Coturnix japonica: one gene and its partner. Each later gene encodes a partner of the first gene's protein in a complex. Links are inferred from orthologs where the notes say so. Each region holds a gene or a part of one and is shown in the gene's direction. Other genes may lie near its edges.

What was found. Proteins that work in one complex are often made in the same cells at the same time.
Region 2: the proteins of RAB35 (region 1) and ACAP2 are in contact, whole or in part, in a crystal structure (PDB 6IF3), measured with the Homo sapiens proteins. The link is inferred for Coturnix japonica from reciprocal best matches to the Homo sapiens genes RAB35 and ACAP2. Residues at the interface, in NP_006852.1 of Homo sapiens: Arg3, Asp4, Tyr5, Leu8, Ile41, Gly42, Val43, Asp44, Phe45, Ile47, Lys58, Gln60, Trp62, Phe70, Arg71, Thr72, Ile73, Thr76, Arg79; in NP_036419.3 of Homo sapiens: Val715, Ala718, Asn719, Ala720, Asp721, Val723, Thr724, Arg727, Leu728, Arg730, Met731, Glu734, Met735, Ser738, Glu748, Thr749, Gln751, Arg755, Asp756, Gln759, Met760.

Annotation. Positions count from the first base shown.
Region 1 is NC_029530.1:8,409,410-8,413,730, forward strand, and holds the start of RAB35 (ras-related protein Rab-35), read left to right. Parts: upstream 1-1,480; 5' UTR 1,481-1,535; coding exon 1,536-1,698; intron 1,699-4,321. UniProt on the Homo sapiens protein: The small GTPases Rab are key regulators of intracellular membrane trafficking, from the formation of transport vesicles to their fusion with membranes.
Region 2 is NC_029524.1:10,923,405-10,927,050, forward strand, and holds part of ACAP2 (arf-GAP with coiled-coil, ANK repeat and PH domain-containing protein 2), read left to right. Parts: intron 1-1,379; coding exon 1,380-1,438; intron 1,439-1,947; coding exon 1,948-2,131; intron 2,132-3,563; coding exon 3,564-3,608; intron 3,609-3,646. UniProt on the Homo sapiens protein: GTPase-activating protein (GAP) for ADP ribosylation factor 6 (ARF6). Doesn't show GAP activity for RAB35.

The DNA of each region.
Region 1 (4,321 bases):
CATTTTTATTCCCCACAACTGACTGTAATAACGTCTTTGAACTGTCAAGCAGCTGCCTCTGAGTGACAGCTGAACTGTGTGTATTTCAAGAAGATCACAAATGAAAGCGCGATGTTTTATCTTACAAGGTGTTAAAAAAATTCGGAGGAAAAGAGACAGATGTGAAAACAAAACATTCGATAGTTTTTAAAGGTAAGTCACCCAGTTGCATACAGTGTTTTATTTGGCAAAATGACCCCTTTCTTACGCTTTCTACATGGGCTTTCATAAGCTTAAAAATAATGGTAGAAGGAGACACAGGTTATCGTGACATGGGGGGATGTGTTATTTGATGGGCTGCTAAAATGCTGTATAGATAAGATAGACAGGAGATGTTGCCTTTGACCTGGATTGGGCTTGGACTAGCTGCAAACCCTTCTCCAACAGTGTTTCTGTGGGTATCAAAGCAGAACTGCACACGCTTGTGTCTGGTAGCACTCCAGCCTGGGTGTGGTGTGTTACACATGTGAACTGTAAAGTCCATTGCATAGGATCATGACATGGAGGTGGTGCAAATGGATTTCAGGATGAGGACGTGACAGGGCTGAGCTCTGAAGGCCAGAACACTTTTCTGTAGGTTAAGATCAAGGAATGTTCCTAACTAAAAGCATAGTTGTGTTTTCAATCAGAAGTATTCTATTAGGCAACGCCTACAGATGCCATTCACCCTACAGATGCTATTGACCCTAGAGATGCTATTCACTCTAGAGATGCTATTTTAGCCATACTGGCTTGGTTTGTTTTCAGATGCATCTACCCAGAAGAATCTGCAGCTTTTTAGTCACCAAAAGCTGCAGGTACATCCTGAGGGTCTTTGTAGGCTCAGCTGATGGCAAAGATTGTGTTCTTTCAGAGCTGATCCAGCTCTCACTTGGAAGCCCAGTGCATGCTAATGAGATGCTTCTGTCAGTGAGCTGTAAAGCTGATGTTTCTAATGTTACACATATTTTAATTAAACGGAGTCATTATTTTGGTTCGAACTTCTGCTAAACACGAATTGGCGGAGGAATTATTTTGAAGGACTTGTGTTGTCTGTTGTCGCTTATTTTTGAGCTGAAAAATAACGAAGTCCTGAATAACGGAGTCCAAACACCAACACAAAGAAACGCTCCTGTGGAAAAGAAACCACAGAGAGACCAGCGCACCTCTGGTCAGCATCCACCTAAGTGACAGCGCCCTTCCTTACCCCAATCATAAGCAGATCTCTGCATTAAACCCCCAAGAGTCGAACCCCAGGTTGAAGATGCCGCCGGTCCTGGCTTTTTCTTATCACTTCTCCTTGGACTCAGGCTGGGCGCTCACTCCCCTCCCGGCGCTGTCATGGCGTCCTGAGGAGAACCAGCGGCACCGCCCCGCCCCACCCAGCTCAGGGAAAGCGCGCATGCGCAGCTCAAAGCCGCGTTGGGCGGGCTGCGCGCACGCGCCGCAGGGAGAGACGTTGCGCATGCGCGGCGGCGTGCCGGCGCAGCTGGAGGCCTACGGCGGCGCTCAGACGCATGCGCGGTTGTGCCGCTGTCAGTTCCGGCTGTTTGTTCGGGAAGTGGATCCGGGCCCGCCGCCGTCCCCTCCCCCTCCTCCCTCCCGCCGCGCTCCCGCCGCTCCCGGCCATGGCCCGGGATTACGACCACCTCTTCAAGCTGCTCATCATCGGCGACAGCGGTGAGGGCTCGCGGCCCGACCCTCCCCGGCCTTTAGGCACTGAGGGGCGGGGGCTGCGCGGCGCGGCGGGGCCTGAGGGGGGCGGCGGGGCCGGGCTGGGCCCGGCGGGGTGTGTGTGTATGTGTGTGTATGTGTGTATATGTGTGTGTGTGTGTGTATGTGTGTATGTGTGTGTGTATGTGGGTGTATGTGTGGGGGGGTTGGGGCTGTGTCACCCTGTGGGGACCGCAGCGCTGTGCGGGATGCTGCGGTGAGCGGCACAGCCACAGCCAAGGGTGGGTGACATCGGTGTGTGTGGGGCGCAGGATGGTCGCTGTCGGGATGGGAGGGAGTTCCCTCCTGAGGTGGCCGAGATAAAGGCCCCGGCAGTGTTGCTTGCACTGCAGCAGTCGCCGCTTTCTCTTCGCTGTTAATTCTTCGTTATTAACCGAGCCGTCCCTCGGGACTGCCTGAAATCTCAGTTCTGGAGTTCGACGTTTCTTTAAATCCTTGATGAGATCGAAGCGTTTGTAGTCCTGGTATGTGTGTAAATACCTGGGAGAGCTGCAGAGAAAGGGTCGTTACACGTTTTGGAAATAAACCATTGAATGATTCTACAGCACTTTCAGAAACTTCTGGAGGGCCGGCGGTGAGCTCAGGTTGTGCCCAGTGCTTTGGACTAGGATGTGGGGCTGGGAGATCCATCCCACCCTCGGTCCCATTCAGTGCTGGTAACCCTCCAGCAGCTCACAGTTACATTTCCATAAGCCGGAGTAGATGGCATCCACCCTCTTCTTTTAATAGAGGTGTGGTCCATAAGGCAGCAGGTCCCAGCACGCAGCGTTGCTCGCTCTTGGCAGTTGTCATCTCCAGAAGCTTTTGCTGTATGTAAAAATATTTTATTCTATGCTAAACTGTGTCTGCAAGAAGGAAAAGGCTGTTTTTAAGACGGGAATGGGAAGAAAGGCTGAGAGCTTCAGAACAGCTTAAAACCCTGGGCACTTCTGAGAGCTCGTGGATTATTAAAACCAAATGCTGCTTTCTGAGTAAAGCAGTAACGCTGCTGCTTGCTGATGAGTTCCAAACTGTTCAGGCAAGATAAACAGGATGGTGAAAACTCTGAGGAAGGCTTCCACTTGTCTTGAACAATTAAATGGAACGTCTGAGCTGAGTCATACTGTGCAGAGTCCTTGTGCTGCATCCAGAGAGGAGAAAAGTGCTGTAAGAACGGTCTGGCTGTATGAGGTTCTCTTTTGCTGTAATTAAATCTCACTGTGTAATCTGGAGATTGATTTTCCTTTTTCTTTTTTTTTTGCTTACCACAACAGTAATGCTTTGTCCCTGCTTCCACACATCAATCTGTTCGCCTTGTTTGTTGCTGTTCAGAAAGGCCTTGTAATAGGAAGTGGACTGATATCTGGGTGAATGATAGTGTTTCATCCACTTTCCTCTGTAAGCAAATTTGTCCAGGGTAGTAGGTTTGTGTGTTTTTAGATCACGTCGTCTGGAGAAGCTGCTGTTAATCTCAGTTGTTCCAAACGTTTAAAAATAACCCGGATGATCAGTGCTTTGTGTGTGTGTCACTTCATTTGTGCTTTTTAATTTGCTTCACTGCTCAGTAAGATACGGGTTTTAGAAACCAACAGGGCTCAGAAATTTGCTTTTAATGTTGATTTTGCCAAGTCAGTAGGCTGTTTGTGTTTTGTTTCATTTGACTGTCTGCAGCAAGACAGGAGCCCTGTTATCCTTCTCCCTTCAGATCTTCAAATAACTCTATGTAGGAAGCAGAGGATGAAGAAGAGTGTGGTTTCTCAGCACTTGCAGCATGCGGGTCAGGGGCAGCGTATGTTCAGTGTGATCGTTGTCATCTGGAGCTTAAGGAACTTGCTGAGCTCGGGAGGCTTCTCTTCTTTGGAAGCCAGCTGAGAGCTGTGCATGAGGTTGAGTCTCTACTGCAGTGCACGGGCTGACGGAGCAGTGGTCATGTGCAGCCCATGCAGCTCTGCAGCATAGCTTGGGGCTGGCTGGCCTCTTCATAAAGTGCTGTGGTCTGACATGTCTGTGGGTTCCAGCGTCTATTTTCTTTTTATTAAGCTGGAGGCGAAGGCGGTTTGATGAGAGAGCAGGGTACTTGCTGAAGACTTGTATTTTCTTCTTCTTTAAGCTGACTGGCACTTTGCATGGGATTAGCTCTTCCTAAAGAACTAGTGTGTTATTAAAGTTTGGGAGCTGCTCTGCTGCCTTTTTTGAGCTCTGAGACATATCTTCAATATATATGTGCTATGTCTGTGGGTTTTTTTCCCCCTCTCCTTAATGAGAAATGAGTAAACCATCTCTGAATGTATGGTGACTTAAAGTGCTGTTGAGATCTGGTTTACTGGTATAATGCTGGTTTTGGTTGTGGTTTTTTATTTTTTATTTTATTTTTTATTTATTATTATTTTTTCCCTTGGATTTTGTTCCATTTTTTTGCTGACATCTATCTTCAGATGTGAACAGAGAAGAAATATTCGTAGGAGCTTAAAGTGCTTTGGGCTGGAGGGGACCTTTAAGACCATCCAGTTCCAACCCCCTGCTATAGTCAGGGACTGAGCAGGTTGCTCACAGCCCCATGCAACCTGGCCTTGAGTGCTTCCAGGGCCTC
Region 2 (3,646 bases), on another chromosome or scaffold:
AAGGAGAGAAGGGGCAAGAGATGGTCCCACTGAGATGGGGATTACTGCCAGTTTATCAGTATGTGTCTTTGCTACAAAAAAGGCTGAGACCCAGACTGATGTGACGTGTGCAGATTTGGCGGTGGCACAGTAGCTTTAACAGCTTGTAGCAAACAGCAGCTTTCTCAAATTTGGAGTGAAAGGTAACGTGTTGGGAAGGCTGTAAGTCTGGTGAAATGATGGTCTGGGCTGTGTTTTCTGTTCATTTGAGGAAAAACATGCTTCTTTTTTTTTTAATTTTTCCCCTAACATTTTTTTCCTCCTGCTTCCTCATTACTGTAAGTAGAATTGCAAGGCTTATGCTTCTGGGAGTCCAGTCATCGGTGGAGTTGCCATCTGGTTGTGTTCGTTGTGTATTGATCTTGATTGGTGCAATCCTCAGGCTCTGGCACACTTAAATGTCAGCTGTGGGAGTAGTCCCACTGTGATTTCCAGCTTGTAAAGAAGTGCTTTATCTGTTCTAGTTATCTGGTATTTTGCTTTTTCCAATGGGAAAATACAAACAGCGTTTTCTGGATGCTCCTTGTCTTACTGTTAGATTCAGGTTGGATGAGGCCTCGGGAGATGCTGGTCTGTCTGCCTGCCTCAAATGGGGTCAACCGTGAGGTTGGGTCAGGCTGAGTGTTTCTGTCCTGTTTTGTCTTGAAAACTATCAAAAATGGAGATGAAATAGTGGATGTAGTACCACTGTCAATGTGAGCTTGGACTCGGTTGTGTTTTCCTTCCTTCAGTGTTTTCTTAAAGGAGGAACAAACAAGCTGCTAAGGGGATTGCTCTGCGGTACTTGGTACTGCATGGTTGATTTTGTTTGTTTGTTTTTATTCCTAGGTCTAGTGTATAGGGAGACTAAGACTCAAACTGAATTTGTGACTTGTTCTTTCAGTAAGATTATTTCACACTTAAATCTTTACATTTTGGAACAGGTTGTGTTCAGTTGGACAGCCACTTCTCTGTATTCTTTTGACTTAATCAGGATGTCACAATCAAGCATAAAGCTCAGCATAGCAGCAATACAGGGACTGCCAGTCATCTTTAAAAGACAAAAACCGTATTTGAGTTATAATGTGGGTCAAAGCTAAGTTGGGTTAGTGAGCCTGTGTGAAGAGATTGTAATGCCATCCTCACTGCGCTTGGACTTGAGTCCAGGTGCCATCAGAACAGGCTGGAACATGAGGTACGTGTCTGTTCTGACATCATTTGCTAGATTTTTCTGTATTGCTTTGGTGAATGCAATTCCATTACAGGATGTAGGGATTCATAAACACTGTTGATGTGCATCTCAAAAATGAAAAGTGAATATCCTGAAGTTACTGAAGTATGTGTTAATGCTTTTCTTTCAGATCCTGTTTGACCAGACGCAAAGATCAATTAAGGCACAGCTTCAGACTTTTGTTAAAGAGTAAGTAAATTTGCACTTGTTATGGGAAAAGCATAGATAAAACTGAATTAAAAGCATCTGATATGAGTGAGTGGGTGAAACATCTCACCAGCAATAAGTTGAGAAGAGCGTATATGAGTTTATCAGACATCACTCAAAATCTGAGAGGCTTTTGTTTCAGCTGCAGAAATGTTTCAATGGAAATAGTTGAAAGTACTAACCATAAATTACTTGGTGTCATTCTCCAGGTTTGGAATAAAAGTGCTTACTAAAGCTTTTCCCACTGAGCGTGAGATTCATTGATGTAAATTCCAACTTTTTCCGTTCCTTGTAAGAGGACAGAGAGGCTGCAGTGAGACTTTGATTTCTTTATTTGATCTCAGCATTTGTTGAGAATGTGAAAGCAAAGAAACAAGCTATAACAGCCTAACACACGCTATAACAGACATAACACAGGCTGCTTAGTGAATCTTTAAACACTTCCTTTGTGCTTTGGAATTCATTTGCCGTCTATCTTTCCTTTGTTGCAGAGATATTAAGAAATTCAAAGATGCAAAGAAGCAGTTTGAAAAAGTTAGCGAAGAAAAGGAGAACGCTCTAGTGAAAAATGCCCAAGTTCAAAGAAATAAACAACATGAAGTAGAGGAAGCAACCAATATTTTGACTGCAACACGGAAATGTTTTCGGCACATAGCTCTGGATTATGTTCTTCAGGTCAGTGCAGCAATAATGCTGTCTTTTCAAACTTGACACTTCTGACCTAAATGTATTTTGTAAGTTTGCTATGCTGTAGTTCCTTAAATAATTAAAATATAAACTGTAGCCTAGCCTAGCAAATACAAGTGACACAAATGGTTCTGGTGTGGCAGTGTAACCTACAGGAGGGGTGTGGGGAGATTGGCAGCCGTTGCTGTAGACTGGGTCCTTGTGCCCATTGACCTACAGCTCATTTGTCTTTTGGAATTTGTATGTTCTAACATCGTACAGTTCCTATGATAAAGGTGCCTTTATAGTAGCAAGGCAAAGTTTCAGCATCTCTTAATTAATGCAGGCGAAAAATGAATTCACCCTTAGGAATCCCTTCTGCTTGGATGACTCTTTTCTGCTGGAAGAGAGGCTTCACAATAACAGCCTCTTTGCAGCTGTATTGACTTTGAACTGCATTTCAAATCCCTTGCTTTCCTATTTTATCCCTTGAGCTGGGGGGTTGTTCTGTATGAATTTAATTATTTTCACTGCAGACAGTTTTCTACAATACAAACTGTGGAACTATAGAACTACGTTCTGGTTTTGGTGTAGAATGACAGTCTGGTTTTGATTATAGCTTCAGTAAAGCTTTCCTGCTGCTGGAATCTTTGAACTGATACGGAGGTGCTGAATTACAAAATTACACATTTTTTCTTCCCATTGTATGCAGCCTTTAAAGCCAAGGCAGGTCTGGATGACAGCTTTGAGGATTAGGAGACAAAGAAGATAAAATTAAGTGAATGTCAAAAATTAAATCCATCCTTTTATCTATATAAAGTGAAATATCCCAAGCTGTGGGGCAACACCATTGGCTAGTTACTTCAGCCAGCTTAAAAGTACAAATGTATGCAAAATGTGACTGAAGTTATTGTGACCTTGCTTGTTTCAGTAGCTGGGGGTGTATCCCAGTTTTGGAACACTTTAGAAAGCATCAGCTGAAGGGAAAAATAAGCGTGGCCCAGTCCATTCTTTGTCTCTAGACGCAGAAGGCAGTGATGCTGCCAGCAGCGTGTTTGAGGGGTTGGTGAGCAGGATGAGCTCATGCTGTCAAAAAAAAGGATTTGAAATGTTCGATTCAGTTTCTTGAAAACGAGTACAAATTTTCCTTGTTTCAGAGGTTTATTGTATTCCTTCTAGATAATGGGTGCTGTCTTAATTTTCTCTTCTTGCCCAGGAAAGTTGTGACTATCACTGTAGAAATCAAGGGTTGCAAGCTTTCTATGATTGCATCACTTCAGAATCATTAAAAAACTCTCATACAGCTTCTGCAGTTCTAGAAGCGCCACGTGAAATCACATATTTGATGTCTTAAGCTTTGATATGTTTATTTGGCAGTAATCTGAAGTTTATCTCTGTGAGAGAAAATCAGCAACTTTTGATTTGATTTTATTTTTTTTAGATCAATGTTCTCCAATCTAAAAGAAGATCAGAAATCTTAAAATCGGTAAATATGCTTTAATTTCTGTATAGGATATATTTGAA